Linked DNA regions of Drosophila melanogaster. The protein of the gene in region 1 interacts with the protein of each later gene in a pairwise test. Each region holds a gene or a part of one and is shown on either strand. Other genes may lie near its edges.

Evidence for each region. The genes of interacting proteins can lie anywhere in the genome.
Region 2: the proteins of CG2691 (region 1) and Rassf interact in a two-hybrid assay, tested with the Drosophila melanogaster proteins (one large-scale study listed by BioGRID).
Region 3: the proteins of CG2691 (region 1) and nuf interact in a two-hybrid assay, tested with the Drosophila melanogaster proteins (one large-scale study listed by BioGRID).

What each region holds. Positions count from the first base shown.
Region 1 is NC_004354.4:13,618,751-13,625,998, forward strand, and holds CG2691 (uncharacterized protein), read right to left. Parts: upstream 5,659-7,248; 5' UTR 5,556-5,658; coding exon 5,414-5,555; intron 5,357-5,413; coding exon 4,797-5,356; intron 4,721-4,796; coding exon 3,810-4,720; intron 3,751-3,809; coding exon 2,869-3,750; intron 2,804-2,868; coding exon 2,669-2,803; intron 2,607-2,668; coding exon 2,174-2,606; intron 2,106-2,173; coding exon 1,843-2,105; intron 1,785-1,842; coding exon 1,594-1,784; intron 1,523-1,593; coding exon 988-1,522; intron 916-987; coding exon 813-915; 3' UTR 526-812; downstream 1-525. Other genes in the region: Tango2 (transport and golgi organization 2), read left to right, coding at 1-303.
Region 2 is NT_033777.3:23,113,482-23,119,444, forward strand, and holds Rassf (Ras association family member), read right to left. Parts: upstream 4,451-5,963; 5' UTR 4,058-4,450; coding exon 4,018-4,057; intron 3,944-4,017; coding exon 3,849-3,943; intron 3,783-3,848; coding exon 3,600-3,782; intron 3,534-3,599; coding exon 3,345-3,533; intron 3,292-3,344; coding exon 1,871-3,291; intron 1,810-1,870; coding exon 1,483-1,809; intron 1,423-1,482; coding exon 1,318-1,422; intron 1,253-1,317; coding exon 1,192-1,252; 3' UTR 533-1,191; downstream 1-532. Other genes in the region: CenB1A (centaurin beta 1A), read left to right, coding at 5,308-5,360.
Region 3 is NT_037436.4:14,218,146-14,222,773, reverse strand, and holds the start of nuf (nuclear fallout), read right to left. Parts: upstream 3,033-4,628; 5' UTR 2,838-3,032; intron 1,335-2,837; exon of another isoform or gene 1,274-1,334; intron 1-1,273. Other genes in the region: CG7768 (uncharacterized protein), read right to left, coding at 3,897-4,391.

The DNA of each region.
Region 1 (7,248 bases):
GTTAAGGCTCATGGGGAAGCCAGCGTGGAGACTCTGTCCGCCCAGCTGATGCAGTTGCTCCGCAACAAGCACAAATTCTGGCCGGACGACGAGCTAAAGACACGTGCGCCCAACTGGGGCGAGGGATTGAGTTCCCTAAACGTCCATATCGAAGAGCATGCCTATGGCAGCCGTACACACTCCGTTGTCCTGGTGGACAGCGAGAATAAGATGCACTTCATTGAGGAGACAATGACTGGATTGGATCCGCACGGCGAATGGAACAAGACCCACATTGAAAAGGATTTTCAAAACGGCGTTTGACCACGGACAGGATGACGCAACTTCTTGACGCAACTATCTCGTTCGAAGACTTTCCTCTTTTGTAGAATAACCTAATTGGCTAATATTCTACCAATCTGTATTTTGACTCTGGCATTTGCGATAATAAATAGTCATATTTACTATATCTTTAAAGAACATAAAGCTTGTGTGGATTTAATCTAACGTTACTGCTCTTCTTTCTGCCACGCATCGAACTATGTTGCTTTCAAAATTCTTTATTCAAAGTCTTTGCAGATCAAAACAAAAAAAAAAAAAAATACATAACTATTCTGTTTCTGTTTTTCTTTATCTGTGGCATTTACAACGTCTCCACATGTTCATATATATATATTAAGTTATATTTATATATTTAAGCAAAGTAACAGGGGAAATAATCATCAACGTCTTAGCTTCCTTATCAACAGACCGCACTATCCCAGTGTTATTATACATCTCTATATCTCTATAGCTTTACGAGCCTGTTAGCCAGTTGGCTTGAATCGTCTGCCCTATTTGTATTTCTTGGACACCCGGCCACCGCCGGCTCCTCCATTTTCAGCGCCAGCTCCTCGCAATACGCTCTTGAATTTTCGCGAATTCATTGAACGTTTTCTGGGGGCGAAAGAGATGGAGTATTAGATAGGGACGGGTATATTAATAATATTAAACATTTTGGATACACACCTCTTGTTCAGGTTATTCCTAGTGAGTGGTATATACGCATATGGATCCAGTTTTCCGCTCTTCTTCATATCACCCTTGGCCTTCTTGCTGCCGTACTCACTGCCCGCTGGGCGGCTGGTGGATTTGCCTGACTTCACGGACATGGCATCCGAGTTTCCAGCTGTCAGCTGTCGATGAATGCCCTTGCCACCGGCAGTGTAGCGACTACTGGCAGTGGTTTTGCCCGATTTCATGCTCATCGCATCATCACCCTTGCGTACACGCTTGGGTACTAGCTTCTGCTGCAGTTTATCTTCGTCGCTCGAATCGTCTTCCATGCCACGCTTAACCTTGGGCTGCTTGGCTACAGTGCCATACGCCATGGATGCATCGGAATCCGAGTCGTCATCGGACTGATCGTTACCGCCCTGGCCACGAAGTGCCTTGTCGCTGATGATCAGGCGTCCATCGTCGGCAGTCTTGAAGCCACCGTTCGGCAGCTGAGCTTTCGTCTTTTGACTCTGGGCAGGGGTGGCCGTTTGAGCGGAGCCACTGGCTGGAGTGGGGCAAAGGCAAAGAAACAAAAAAAGTGATGATTTGTGCGATTTTCAAACGACTTCAACTTACTCAGCACATTGCCAATGGACTTGAGATCGGCCAAATCGACTATCTCATCGGGATCCTCGCGAATGTAAGTGCTCTTCTGTTGCTTAGCATTCTTGCTACGCTTGCTAGCTGCGGCTGCAGCTCCGGCCTCATCCTTAGCGTCCATATCTTCGGGCAGATCCGAATCGGAGTCAGCTAGCATATCATCAATGCTGTGGAAGGGATTTTTTTTAGTTATTTGGGTAATTACTGTGTATGAAAAACGCTTACGTGTAGCTCTTTTCCTGCAGACCGCTGACCAGCTCATCATCGGAGCTATCCTCCTGCGCTTCCAAGTTCTGTTTCTTGCGCAAATCCCTGCGCGTACGCTTGCGGATCATCTTCAGCCGGCGATGGATTACATCGTCATCGCCGGGAACGAAGCCGGCCAGCTCCCCGGGGCTAAAACGAATGCAGAGCTTCTTAAGCAAATAACCGATCTGGATGCGGCAGTATCGCTTCGTATCCTTGGTCATGGCCGACAAGGAACGCATCTAAAGGAGGGGAAAGAACTAATTATTCGGTTCAAGTGCCTAATTTAAATGTCGGCGGATGTGCTCACAATTGCCTCCAGGTGATTGGCCACCAGTGGTATGGGCATCACTTTGATGAATGTAATCAGAAAGGCAATGGCTGCCTCCGCTTGCTTGCGTGACTTCTGGACGAGGAAAACAGAGACCTGCTGCAGGACAAACTCCAGAGTGGCCACTGTCAAGTGCTCACCCTGCTGCTGGAGCACAGCCCTAAAGGCCAAAATTGTGTTCGTCACCAGCATTTCATCGCCGGCAAATCCTGCCGTCAGTATATCAACAAAGTCGTTAATCTTGCCGGCATCGTGATAAAGTTGAGTAATAGATTTGATTAGCTGCTCGGCCACCTGTTCCTTGTAATTGGAGAATTCCTTATAGTTGAGCACTGCCTCCGGAATGGCCTTCATCACAAGTTGATCGTTGTACGCCAGATTGCTGTGGCAGTCTATCAGGGACTTCAGGCAGCTGATGATTGAAAAATAATAGTTTAGCCTACACTTTAGCGATCATTTAGCACTTTAACTTACTGCAAACGCGATGCCTGACAAACGTTGCAGCTGGTGTTAAATGAATCGAGAAGGATTTGCTGCAGGACAATGCTGTTCTTGCGGGTAAACTTCTGGCATGATGGCAGCTCCGAGGTCATCAGTTCGCGAAGTAGTCTATAAATAAGAAGGGCTCATAAGTACACTGCAGTGTGACTATGACTAACAACAAGTGTACATACTCGTAGGTCTTCCTTTGCTGCTTTTTCAGTTTCTGCTCATCTTTGGCGACCAATTTCGATTTATCGTTCCTCAGAATGGGAGCCATGTACTTATCGAAATATGCTTTGATTCCCTTGCATGTTTGCACGCGCACTATGGCAGCATTAATGTCAAAGAAAGCGTCGTATTCGAAACTGGCCAAGGCACTGGCAGCCAATTGCTCTTGGGCGTTCTCAAAGAGCTCCAGTTGGACATCAGCCGGCGCCCGGGAAATATACAAACGAATGACTTCCAGAACACGCTTGCGCTGATCGGCCTCGTAGGTTCCATTCGGTTTCTGCGTATAGATATTGAAGAGGCGAGGCAAAAAGTTCTTGGCATACTGGCCAATTGCCTGATGGCATTCCGCACTTTGGTTGTCACCGAGCAGCTCCATCAGACCATCGTAAATGGGAGGCCTAAATTCCGGGTTCTTTTCCACAGCCGCACCCAAAGTGGGAGCTAGGTACCGCAAGTATTCAGGATCCCTTGGCTGACGACAGAAGCCAGGGAACAAGCCCCACAACTGGCAGCACAATAGCTCGTAAATGTGTGATGAAGAATTGTTCTTCGCCTCGGCGAACTCCTTCCACTTCAGTTGGCAGTCCATGGCCAGTGCTACAATCTTCTCCTTGAAGAACTGCAGGCTGGCACCGTTGGCTCCCTCACGGAGGAGGGGCAGCAGCCAGGATCGCTCAAGCTGCATGACGCCCTTGCCATCGGCAAGCGGTATAGCTGTTAGTACCAATTCGGGTCCCAAAGCCTTGATGGCACTGATCACAGTGTGCTCGATCTGCAGACGATGTGCACTCTGGGTGTCGTAGCGCTTGCAGATTGTCATCAGCGGGGGTGTGAGTTCCGAACTGAAAGCATTATAATATTATTAAGCATTTAAATATTATGGCACACATTGCAGACCAACCCGAATAGCTTTCCACAGGCCTCAAAGACGAACGAGAAGATGAGGATCACGAATCTGGAGATCTCTCCGAATGGAGCGTTTAGCATCTTGTGCAGTGAAGCAATTATCCTGGACACACTTTGCCTGTTGCACTGTGCATCCTCCGCTGTAGCACAAGCGCGCGAAACACAGTCTTGCAGCAGCTCCTTGATACAATTTGAGACACCGGCAACCAGCTCCTTTTGGTCCGAGAGCCAAAGATCCGTGGTGCAGACATCGATCAGACGCGGCAAGGCCTGCATACAAAGATCCAGCTGCATGGTCGCCAAATGGAGGTGGCCCTCCTTTAAGACCGTCACCCAGGCGATCGTCTGCCGGATGTCGCTTTTGTCTGGCCGGTACTCGTGTATCGCTGCCAGCAGTTTGGCGCAGAGTGAGGCATTTAAATTGGGGCTTTTTTTGAGGAAAAGGGAGTACAGTGTCTGGAAACAGTTCGTCCTAACCAGCACATTGGCCGCCGTCATAATGGAAAGCAGATGCTCGCAGACACTGCGTATGTCCTCCGTCTTGAAACCGTATAACGTGTCCTTGAGAAGCTCCAAAGTGTGCAGCACTGTCGTCTGTGCATTGGCCAGTACCTCCGGCTTGAACTGAGCCAAACAGAACTTGGCCACGCGACTGCTAGCCGGATGATGCTTAACCTTTGGCTGCTCAACCGCTTCATCCATTTCATTGTCATCTGATTTGATAGCCGGCAGCATGAAACAGCTGCCGTGAATAATTAAGGCAATTGCATGCTGGGCTGCCTTGCGGATCTTCGGCTGTGAGTGAATGCTGAACGCCAGAATGGCATCAAAGTATTGGAACGTCGAGCTGTATGACCATGCCGCGTAATCCTGGGCGCGCAGAATGACAGAAAGGCAGCCGATTACCTGTAAATGGAAAAACACGAACATCGACGTTAAATACGTATTTAACAGCTTTCTGGTAAACACATTTTGCACTTACATGTCGGATGACCGACTGGTTAGTGGACTCCATAAAGCGCTGGAGCAGTCTCTGCATGGTGTCAGCGGTCTGGGCGAATCGCTTTTTGAGAACCGGAGCCGGCACCGAATTAATGCCCATGGCAAGCAGTGTTACGCCGGCCACAATGTCCCGTTCCTCGGTAGCGGCCTCGATCTGCTCCATGAGCAGCAGGAAATACTCTGTAGACGACTCGCCACCGCCGTTCTCGCGGATTATTTCGGTGAGGGCGCTCAGAATGGCCAGCATCTCCTTGTGAAGAGCGGACGAGGACCGGAAGCTGGTGACCAGTTTCTGGAAGCATGTGTTGCTGCAACCGCTGTAGTTGGAGGCGAAGGTCTGGAAGGTTTTGATGGTGCCGGTGGGGGCGGTGCCGGTGGGAGCGGTGCCGGAACCGGACATTCCGTCATCATCGTCATCCAGTTTGAAACTTCTCAAACTGCCGGCCACATCGTTAACCGTTGTGGTTTCCGCATTAAAGGCCTGACTCTGCTCATGCTTGTGGACCGCCTCCATGGTGAGGCCGGTGGTCGTGGCTGCAGCTGTAAGGAATTTGGTTACAGGTGCTAACATAAGATGGCAAGTAAGGAAGAACTCACCCAAACTTAAATTGGGCTGAAAGAATCGCGATTTGGCCTTCATGCGGTGCTTCATCTGGGTGGGATTGGAGGTGGCCGATTCGCCTCTGCTCCATGTCTTTCCCTTGCCATTGCGCTTTAGCTTCGATCGGAATTTGCCCATGATCCCCCACGCGAGAAATGCTCGAAAGAAACAGAAATACTCAATGCACGCAAATCGCAACACGTGCGAACCAGTGTCCCCGCTCGACCGATAGAACTGACAATCGAAACTGCTATCGAATGGCTGATCAAAACTCGATGACGTACCGTTGTAAATTTCTAATCAAGTTCCCCACTTTGAATTGCAGTCCTGGCTAGTTCTGCTCTGCTACCTACCACAAACTAGTTGTGTGCTTTTGAATAAGCATAAATATCTGTTTCCCAAATATAAAAAATATATTTTTTGATTAAAAGATTTAAAAATACTAGTGGGGGTGTGTTGATTATTTCAAGGTGAATTTCCACCCAAGCTATACACCACACGATATCAAATTAGCTAACACACCAACCTGTTATCGATATTCCCCTTAGGAATGTCGATAACGTACGTGGCCGGTCTGGCAGCTCTGTGCAACAAGTTGAAAAATAGAAGAAGCAAATAGAAACAGCGTCCGCAAATAGTGCGCAAAATAGTGTTTTTTTGTTAACGTGCAACAGTGACATTGTTAAGCCATTGAATGCAAGTGACAGTGGGACCAGAAAAACAATGCAAAACACTTGGCCACGCAACAATAACAATTGAGCAAGGCGCACACACACACACATGTGCAGGCACCCACTCGTGTAAGAGAAAAAAAGAGATAGCGCGAGTGTGTGAGTGAGCGAGAGGCAAGAACTGTAACTGTAATATAATTGATAAAACAAAAAACGTCAGGAGCAGGAATCCAGTGAAAGAGCGGCTGTGGCTGAGGGAAAGAGAGAGAGAGAGAGAGAGAGCGAGTAAGAGGACAGCGAAAAAGAGCTGAAAAAGGAGGAGGAATTGTTGTTGCTAAAAATAGCAACAAATAGACAGGGCACGAAGAAGAAGAAGACGACGGCAAATAAGAGCAAGAAGAAGAAGCGTTGACGCAGGCAAAAGTCGCAGCCTTGTTGGCCACTTGGACTCTTACTTTGTCCCGTTAGCCAGCTAACGCTCTCCCGGCGAGCAACAACAACAACAACAAACATCGATAGCAGCAATAACAATAACGATATCAAGGAATACGAGATCAGCATCATCAACACAAAACAAAACAAAAACAACAACAACAAGTACGACGACGGACCAAAACTATGCTTTTGAAATTCACAAAAACCAGTGGCGCTGGACCCTCGGCCGTACCGCTACTGACCACCGCCCCCGCGACAGTCACCAGTTCGGCGTCCATGCAGGCAACAACAACAAGTTACGCGGCCCGTGGAACAGGTTTGTACCCCACTCTCTATCGCCCCTTACCCCCTCTCCCTCTCCCTGTGCCCTCTAACTCATTGCTTTCCACTTCTCTTTGCTCTCTTTTTGTTTTGATTTGTTAAGTTTAAGGTACGCCAAACAGTATAAATAATACACCTTGCCCACATTGACGTCCGAATTTCAGTAATTGAAATTATGGCTAATCGAGGCTTGGGTCTCAGATTATCACATTTTAATTTAAGTCACTCAAAGTTATATTGAAATAATTAAGATATATATTCAAACCATACTTAGAACTTATCCTAAATGATATTATACATTTCCTACGAATTTTTCGTTCAATTCAATAGTCAGCTTGTTAATATAATCAAACACTTGGTCAAAATGTTCTTATTGTTAACTGTTTCTATTGGGCATTGGAATT
Region 2 (5,963 bases), on another chromosome or scaffold:
CAACGCTGGCACGGTCCTGTAGTTGTTGCGGAGTCCCAACCACGTTGTAGCCGGAATGGAGACCCGTAGGCTCTGTCAGTTTCAAATTAATAGCCACGCACACACACTCACTCTGTGCCGCTGTGGGGTGTGCATTTATTATGTGAGTGAGCCAGTGCTTGCCTACTTTCGTCCTCGTCGCTATTTCCGCGCTGCTCCTCCGTCGTTTCTCTATTATAATGGCATCATTGACTTGTGCTTTGATGGCTGCTTTGGCCAGGACAGGGCATCGGTTTGCCCCCACCCTAGTGTGTGTATGTGTGTGTGTGTGTGTGGGGGGGGGGCTAGAGGTCCACCTCCACTTGATCCCCATTTGGGCACGGACGGCTGGCGCCGGTTGCTGCCTTTTTTGAATATTCGGCTCACACTTTCTGCTACTGCTGCCGCCTTTAGGTTCGCCCCTTTGCACTAGGGACGCGTTACTTGCCGGAATTTGTTGGCGACCATGGGGCCTTAAACTCCGCTTGGCTGGTCACCGAAAGAGGCGGCGATTCTGTTGTAAAATTTTCATTTTATTGGATTTCCAAATGATTTTCAATCAACAAGTCCATGTTATGCAATATGAAGTATGTGCACAGTTATTCTTATTGTTTCGCAGGCATTGCGATTTCTAATCAAATTGATTTTCACACATTTGTTCAATGACTCGATAAAATGGCTTTCAACTACACGCTACTAGCAGGACCTGTGCTTCATGTCACGGCTTAAAAGCTAAACATTGTACAATAGATACATGAATGACAACGCTTTTAACGTGACTGCATAAAGCACATACATTGATTATTAACATAAAACAAAAAACTGTATGGTAATGTTGTGGATTAATAATTATTTTTTGGTTAGTTACAAGTCTTAAACGCTTTCTAAACGAATGGAAATGCCTGGAATTGATTGTTAGTTTCGGCTGGGAAGAATCGAACCCTAAACGTAATGTATGTATATGTATTTTGCGACGAGCAGCAGCTGCTTTTTGTTCACTGGGCGCCTAATGTTTGCTAGTTCGTAATTTTCTCTAGATTCTACATAAAAATATATATCTCGTATAAAAACGTGAATACTATTAGCTGTGCTGCTGCCGACACTTCTTTTTTGGCCGCATTCATGTTATGGCTAATAAAAAATTGCTCTTATGCCAGAGGTTTCATTTACGTTTTACAAATGCACTTTCAGAGATTCCATGCGACTGACAATACGACGTCGCAATTCGGCGTATCTGCGGAAAAGTAATTCTCTTTCAATGCAAAGTCTTGGGATGTAAAATTATTTTTTAAAACCCACCTTTCCTTTATTTTGGCCACTTCGCGGGCCAGTTCCTGGTCGTAGCGCTCCAGAATAGCACGGCACTCGGGCAAAGATAAATTCAAAAATTGAGCAACTTCATTACTGCAGCGATGCAAAAGAAACGTAAGCAAACTTCTATTGAAAAGGAGTGTTATAACTTGCCTGATTTCATCAGTTTTGCGAGAATCCACTAAAAATATACGAGCCACATCCTCATGAGGTCCCAAAGTGACGCGCGTTATCAAAGGATATTCGTCGTCCTTGAGACGTTTCTGTTCACCATTGTCGCGAACAATGAAGAGTGAAAAATTGCCAGGCGAACTGTCCACCTTGTATTTCTCCAGCACCAAGTTGATAACCTCAGTGGTGGTCACCATCGAGGAGACCCACACTGACATTTGAGAACCGTAGGGCGGCGTGAAAAACGACGTCTCCCGATTGTAGTAGTGACCATTGATAGAGCACCGACGTTTCAGCTTGGTACGAGAACTATTGATTAAGAAGTTGGAATTACAACACAATTTCTTCATTAAAAGTTTCAGTAACTTACCGACGATTGCCACTTCGTCGCTTGATGGCAGAAGCTCCTGTGCGTGGAGGTCTTCTCAGCACAACTCCATCTTCCGTCACATGCAACCCAGCCGATCCATCTCCGTCTGGACCATCAACGCCCTCGCTTGCAGTGTACAAATCCTCGGTTTGCGTAAGCTCATCGCCGGCCGCTGCACCACTGGTTATGGATGGAGCATCTGCCCGACTTGACTCACCTTCGCTAGCAGCAGCCACATTCTCTTTGGGATAACAGTCCATCTGGATTTGTATGTACCGCTGAGGTATGTCGCTGCGTCGAATGGTGGCCATACGTTGGGGACGCAGCGTGGCCTCGTCGTCGTCATCGCTGTCGGAGTACACAAAACAGCTGGGTCCCGATTTGGAGCGGTTGATGCCCTTTTCGAACAACTGCCGCCCCTGTTGATATGGCTTCTTTTGATCCCTGCTGGTTACTGTGGCCGATCCACTCTTTTGTAAGGCGTACTGACGCTGTGCGGAGTGAGGAGAGCCCACACTACTGCGCAGATTCATGGTGTCGTTGATTAAAGTGGGATCTATTGACCGCAATGCATGCTCACAATTAAAGCTTTTGCTCATCGCTGAATTCTCGCCGTAGAGCTTAAGGGAGTCGTGAATGCGAGAGGGATCAATTGGTTGATTACGCTTAAGGGTGCCCTCATTGGGCTCCGTAAAGGAGTTGGCCCCATTTACATAGTCCTGGTGGACACTACGCTTAAAGTCCTCGAAATCAATAGGCTTCAGGGTAGCGTCATCGCAAGTCTCGAAGTTATCCAGAGAGGTCTCAGTAGTAGACACCGTTGTTGTATTCTGCGTATTGGTGTTGGCAGTCAACGATCCCGTGGCGGTCATAAAATCATCCGTGCTGCTGGTGTTTGTTGATGCCGATTGAGTCGAGCTTGATTCAGTGGTCGTAGTGGTCTCTGTGGATGTTTTGCTGGGCGAACTGTCGCTGGAGGATTGCGACGACGGCAGTTTGACAGGCATAGTTTCATAAATGCGATCCTTGTCGTTGTGACGTCTCTCTACCTGCAGCAGATCGTCTATGTCGTCCCAATCCAGTTTTTCCAGACGGTCCAACTTCGAAGGCAATGTGCTGGACACACAACTTGTGCTGGCAGTAGGAGCCTCCACCAGGGTTCCAGATGAGTCCGTCGTGGTCGTATCCTCGTCGTCGTTGCACACATTACCATTGGTCTGCTCTTTGCTGTTGGCTGTGGTGTTGGCCGAGGCATCTTCTGGGGTTGTGGGCAACTCGGAGATCTCGTTCAGGCTACAGGAGTCGAAGGTCATGCTCTCGGAAAGGGAAACATCCGTGGATAGTTGATCGACCTCGGCTGTGGTGGTGGTGGGCGGAGCCAGCGATTCGCTAGCTTCGTTTTCCTTATCCGAACTGCTTTCCTGTGGGTACAATTGTATAAATAACGTTTTGTTATGTTATAGATTCAGCTTACATTGGCAGCCTTGGACACACGGCAAGAGTTCCTTTTGCGCACTAAGATGCGCTGATCATCGTCCTCCTTGAGATGAATCACTCCCTGCACGCCCCAGTAAACTCTAAGCGCGCCTTCCAGCACCAACCGGTTGTTGACCTCACGACTACGTATCTCCAGGCTTTTGTTGTCGTAGAATTGGTTGTAGACCTGCCCATTAAAAGGGAATTTGGTGAGTCATGAGATATTGATATGTCTGGGTATTGCGTTCTGCACCTTAAGTTTGGACTCCAGGTGATCACGTGGGAGTGGCGGGCCATTGGCCTGAGCTCCGGTTGGCTTCTGGGCTCCCTTCACCCCATAGCTTTTGTGCGATTCCACCCGGGTGCCGTGGCCAAACAACTGGGGTCCAAACAGGGCGCCATAGCAGGGCACATGGCAGTAGGGCACACTTTTGTGCTGAAAGGAAAACAAAAGGCTTTATATAGATCACATGATCGGCTAACTAACAGGTGATCCTCCTACCTCAGCATGCTGGCCGGGATTTAAGCGTTTGCCGCATTCCTCGCAGCGCAAACATTCCGGATGCCAATCGTAGCCGATCGATTGTTTACGTTCCGCTGTGCGGGGCATAAATAAATATAATTTACAAGTTATTTACGGATCGCAATGCGCTCGTGTGTGGGTGCATTACCGAAGTAAACGGGTTTGCCGCACTTGTGGCACTTCCACATTCTGGATTCCAAACAGGTCGGTCTAATGCTTCCTCCGGGAATGGGCGTGTTTCACTCCTCCTCCTCTACTTCGCCGATTTTAAAGAGTTGTGACGTAAAGCCGTCGAGTTGTATGCAAATGAGGCGATTTAAAGCGGACACGAAACGCAAATAGAACGCTGGACAAGGGGTAAACACATGAGGCGAGGGGGGACGTGAGACTCTGATCGGTCAGTCGGTCAGCTGCGCTGGTTGCCGTGCGAAACTCATAGTTTTATAAATGAAACTGGCACTGGGCACTCCCACACTTGGTGCACGGTGCAGGTGCATCGGTTTTCGGTGCGTACTTGTGTGGATAATTGCACTTAAACCAAAACAGCACCAGCAGAAAGAGAACAGAACAATGAAATGAAAAATGGCACTTGTGCAGCACTGGCCGCGGATTCTTGTCGCACAAGGCGGGCACCCTAAAATCCAGCGGTGCTGTCAGCTGATCTGTTTTGTAGCTAGATTTGACTTGGCTGGCGGTAGCTTGAAACGGATTTGCTTGTTTTGGTGTTTAAAATTGTCATCGTTTGTACTTTAAATACATCTACATTGATTATGGCTAGAACCCAAATCTTTTTTGGGCTGTATCTTCTTTTAGGGAATTTAAGTTCCTAATTAGCTTCTTCTTAGCTACAAAAGTTTCCAACACTGATAAACCGTGCTGACAATGTCAATGTGCGTTGTTTTATGCCTTTGAATTGAAATCTTCGTAACTAATCGAGTTTTAAAACGAAAATCAGCACAAGGAAAACACTAAGCATTCAATACATTTAAAATTTTAAAAGATATGAGCAAAAGCAAATAAGCCCGCCAAAGTGTGTGACCATTCGCGCTGCTAGATTTGTTTTCGCTGCGAGTGCGGGCACACCGATCTGCTCTAGTAGAAAGTGAGACGTTTTAATTTGTTGTCTCTGCGCGCTGTGTAAATTTGGTAAATTCGGCCCCGAATCGCGTAAATTGGCGAGTTTCGCTAATTAGGGCCAGTGCTCAACGTGTGTAGCCGTCGATTGCCAAGGATGCGACTAATCACCATATCTCCTGCTGCCCGCAATTAGCTTCTCCCAGAGCCGCCCTCGAAAATCGCGCATCGAAATCCCCACTTCAGCAAGGAAAGCAAAGCAAAGCAGAGCAGCAGCAACAGGCCAACAAAGATTCACGGGCCTCAATTAGCGTAGCGAAATAGCCAGCAGTGCAGTCTAGGTGCTGCTTGCGTGGTGGCCAAAATGCGCGCCACCATCGAGTTCGAGGAGTGCCTGAAGGATTCTCCCAGATTCAGGTGCATATAAGCTGCAGCCCCGCCCCCACTGTGTGCCCATCCTGAGCCGCATTTGGCGTGAGATTCGAATTGCTCCATGTAGCGTGACTGGTTACTATCCAAAACCAGATACAGCCCAACACCGCCCCACCTGCTCCACCTGAAAACGCGGCTTAATCATCCATCGAACAAACTTTGTCCCGTCAGCAGTGTGGAATGTGCCTGCCTGCCCCTTTATTTCCGCAATTAAATTGCCGATGCTCTCGTCTCCGTCCGCGAACGCTTCAATGCCCGCCGCTGATTGATAAGATTTCACCCAAATTGCCGCTTCTCCACTAATCGTGTCCAAAGACAAAAGCTTTCCCTCGTAAAACGGTGCACAAACGCGGCGATAACTTGTTTGCCCAGCAGCCCCATCACATCTTCCCCACTTTTTCGCACCTGCAGCAGCTTCACTTGAAAGAAAACAGGAAATCAAGACTATCTTGGATTCTCCTGCACTTCGGTTCTTTTATCATTTGTGGAAGTGCCAACTTGACCTTGGTGTTTCGAAACCGAAGTACACTACAATAAATTATGTGAATCATATGTGAACTTTTCTGCCATGCATATAAAAAATAAGAA
Region 3 (4,628 bases), on another chromosome or scaffold:
CCCTCTCTTTACTTCTTCTTTTTTTTTTAGAACCAACAGACCGTAAAATTATTTTGTTCAGACTTTGAGCAGAATTCTAGACAATTTTACATATCCTCGTCGTACAGCTATTTTCCAACCTCTCCCTATTTTCATTGTTATTTTGTTCCTCAGGTTTTGAATTCCCGCCTAGTTTCTAATTACCAGAAAATGCAATGGCTGGCTAAGTTTGCTTTTCTTTTACTTGGAATTTGTGGCGTGCTGTTTACTTTTGTAGTCTAGTAAACTGAATCATTCTTAGTCTTATCAAATCGTTCGGCGACGTGTATAGTTAAGGTGCCCTTGTCAAAGCTTCATTTTCACGTTATCACATACAAATTTAAATAAAGGTCAATATGAGGGCCAATTAAAAGCAGGGCATGACTGATAAAGATTTTACTTTTTAAAGAACTTTATTTGCTTTGAATGATTCCAAGTTGATTTACGAAATAAGCATTCAAATAAATAAAATACAACTTTATTACAAATGATTTGGAAACCCTTATCAAAATACAATCCAATTCCTTCAATACAAGTACAGTAAGTAACCGAATAATCTGATTTCAATTCAACTAAAACTAATTTGCTAATGAAGTAAACTTTCCTTTCTTGTCAGCTGAATATTTTTGGATTATCATATCTCTTCAACCATTTTTTCCTCGCCCATGTCAGGCAATCAAAAACAGCATAATAGAAAATTATCATTAGCTACTCTTCAGCAAAATTGAATTCCACAAAGATTTGCATACAATGGTCGACGAAGGAAGGGGTGAAAATGGGGATGAGTCGAACGAGGGGAGCTCATTAAATGCAAATTTTACTTCGCTGCTGTGCACTTTTCATGCAACAAAGTGAAGTGAACAAGTTACAACAAAAAGGTTGTAAAATATACAATGATTAGCCGAAATTGGATCAGGAATGCTGAGTACCACATAAAATATTCATGATTTCAAACAAATGTATATTTAAAGACTTTGCATCAATTATATGGGAATCATATACATAAGAACTTGAAAAAAAATTGTCATTGATTATTTTTAATGTACTATTATGTATTCTATAACTTTCTTGAAAGCTTTTGCTTAAAAGAACCAAAAACTAATGATGCAATCCTTTAAAATATTTTTAATTTTCCTGCCGATTTTATGATCTTCAATAATCTGTGCCGCGATCTCACAAATATTTTTCAATTTTAAAAGTGAATAGCTAATTTTTTCGATTATTTAAAATGGTGTATTATGTATTTTATTACAACCACAATCGAGGGAGAAAAACAAATTTCGATTAAAGCACGCGAAACGCGAAAAGCAAACTGAATGAACCAGAAATTCAGGGGCAAAATAAACCGAGGCAGTCGCCAGCGATAGAGAGAAAAATGAGAGACTGGGAGAGCGAATTTGGGGAGGCGCAATCTTTATAAATAGGAAAAAATAATAATCAACAAACAAGAGCAATGACAAGGGACCGAAGAAAGAGAGCGATCCGATCCCCCAAAGGAAAAGTTTTTCGCCATATGTCCGAGGGTGATTCTCTCGCCGAATCCGCCCGCCTCCTTTATTTTGAACATATGGTTTTTGAGTCAGGGACAGCGCATAATTATGTGGAATTTATATACGGTCACCCCAAGCCAACCGCTCCCAAAATGCCTCCCATCATATGTTCATATATGCATACATACGTATGTATGTATATGTTTTACTCATTACTAAATAAAAGCGCAAGTGAATAAGCGTGGACACGAACCGAAAAGCAAGAGTAACGGGACGCATGCGGGATTGGATGGTAATCTCCATCCATTTCGTCCCATCTCTTTCGTACACCCCCTTTTTGTTGATGTCATCAGAGGGTCTTTTCCGTTCTTTTGTTATTGCGGCTACCTTAGGCCTTTTACTTATTGGTTTTTAGTGCTAGTTTTCAGTTCCGGTTAGTTGTCTTCTGTGCTGTTAGGGCACTGTGCCGTTAGATTTATATGCCTACTAATTGACGAACCATCGCTAATGAAAGAATATTTTCCTACCAAACTTAACGGTACGGAAAATGCCTAGTAAAAGAAATTAAGAAGTACGAGTTATGTATAATGAATGAACTTGGAACTGCTATGCGTTATTCTCGGTGGAAGCCCTTGATTTATTTAATTCCCTTTGAATGTAGAAACTGCCGAAAGCAATGAAAACAAGACTTGATTTTTAAAGAGGCAATATTATTTTTTTTTTTTCATCTTCCTAAGTTTACTAAACTTTTTAAGAAAATACTTAAACTTGTCTCCATTAATAATAAAAAAAATCAACACAAAAAGCACAATTAATTTACATTGTGCCGGTTTTGCAAATTTGATCACCTTATCTTTCTTCGTTTTACTTCATCAATTACCGTCAGTGTTTTTTCAACTTTTAACGCCCCATAACGAAGAATTGCTTTGAATTGTTTAAAGCTATTTTATTTTTTCTTTCATTTTGTCCCATTTATTGTATCATTTATCAATTTTATGCCACACTTGATTTCCATTTTTTATGTTTCGATAAAACACTTGGCAAACTGATTCAACCGCACTTTTCAATTTAAGATCAATCAACCAATATATTTGCCAGAGGGTATGAAAATTAGAAACATGAGCCGAACAAGGCTACTTTGATTACGGGTTTTCACAACAGACCCTGTCATTAACGAATTTGTTTTGATTTCACATTTTTCCTTAAATAAGCGGTTAATGAGCCAAAGGCACCTGACACAGCTGATAAGCGAATTCGATCGATAATAGGTAACACACAAAAAACACACGAATTGAGGTAACTTTGGGTTAATTTTCTCGAATTTCGAACCTTTTTTAATTTGGCTATTTTGCTTAGGAGAGCAGCAGCAGCAGCTGCATTTTCCTTTTCCTTGGCAATTGCATTGCCCAACAACAAAACACCCGCGCGAGAGAGCGCGAGAGAGTGAGAGACAGGGCGACCGTTCGATGCGCTGCTCCGCTTTTCTAGTGTTGTGAACGCGGCAAGCGTTAAATGCAATCTGAGAGAGGAAAGCGCTGAAAAGCCAGCGCCAAGTCGCGGCCCCTCCTCTGCCGCTGCCTCGGTCGACGTCGGCAGAAGCCGCGACTTGTTTTGGGTGCCCGAAAAAATAACGAAAAGAAATACAAAAAAACAGAGCCCCAAAGCAAAACGAACGCAATAGAAAAATTCCACTAATGTGACTTAGCAGTGTTGGAAATTCGTATTACATGCACTTGAGAAAAGAAAATTTTGTTTGCTGAGTGGCTTATATGCACATACACATATACACATTGTATAACATAGTTAGCCAGGTGTTTTTAGGTTTGAAAAGAAATACTAACTTCCAAATATAATATTTGTTTAAACAAAACTTATATTGCAGAATATATTTAAAAAATAATGGATTCAATTTGAGTTTTTGAATGTATTTAGTAAAGTGCACTTTACCAAACATATACATATGTATTACTGGTGGTTAATTCTTTTTTTTCATCAGTGTATGTGACTTAATAGACATTTGCAAAGTGCATTCGGGTAAAGTGGATAGAATGGCTTGAGGGAAAGGTGATGGGAGACAGAATGAGAATCGAGTGGAAAGAATCAAAAGCGACATATGTGAGCAACTCTTGAACTAAATTGAGTCAATTAAAAGTAATGGAAAGAAAAATCAAAGGAAAATGAGTCAGGGAACTGGGCTGTTCAGGGTGCACCGGATTATTCAACGAATTGGTCTGAAATGCGTAACATATGAGAGCGATGTAAATAGTTGAACCGACAAAATACATTTTTTTGCACCCCCTTTTATTTTGCAAAGTTTTCTTGAAAAGTATAATTTCAGTGTAATAGTGTAAATGTGTGATTGACAGCACTATTATGTATTGACACCCTTCAGAGGGCTCCGCAGTCTTCGATAATTACTTTCTTGCTGGTCTTCCCATCTTGTGAACCGTAAGATTCTACCTTCTGGACGATATCCATTCCCTCAACGACCTTGCCGAACACGACATGCTTATTATCCAGCCATGTGGTTTTCCCGGTGCAAATGAAAAACTGAGATCCATTGGTATTGGCCCCAGCATTGGCCATCGAAAGTACACCAGCTCCGGTATGCTTTAGCTCGAAATTCTCATCGGGAAACTTGTTTCCATAAATGGAGCGTCCTCCAGTTCCGTTTTGATTAGTGAAATCACCGCCCTGACACATGAAATTCGGGATGACGCGGTGGAATGGTGATCCCTTGTAGCCGTACCCCTTCTCTCCGGTGCAGAGGGCCCGGAAATTCTCCGCCGTCTTGGGCACCACATCCGAACGTAGTTCCATCACAATTCTACCTAACTTCTCACCTCCTGCGGCTATATCGAAGTAAACGCGTGGCAACGACATCTTCGCAGATGCCGAAAATTTTCGGAGAAAAGCCAGATCTATTAGGTTTAAAATCGAACGATGCCTTGTTCAAAAACAAGAAATATATTTACCGGATAACTTGGTGGTGTCAGCTTTATGATAAAAAAAAGTAACGACTTTCAAGAGAACCGTACAGTAGAACAGCTGGAACTGAACTGACGAATATTCTGGGCTAGTCAGGGATCTGAAGTAAGGGCTCGTTGAAATTCATTTCAC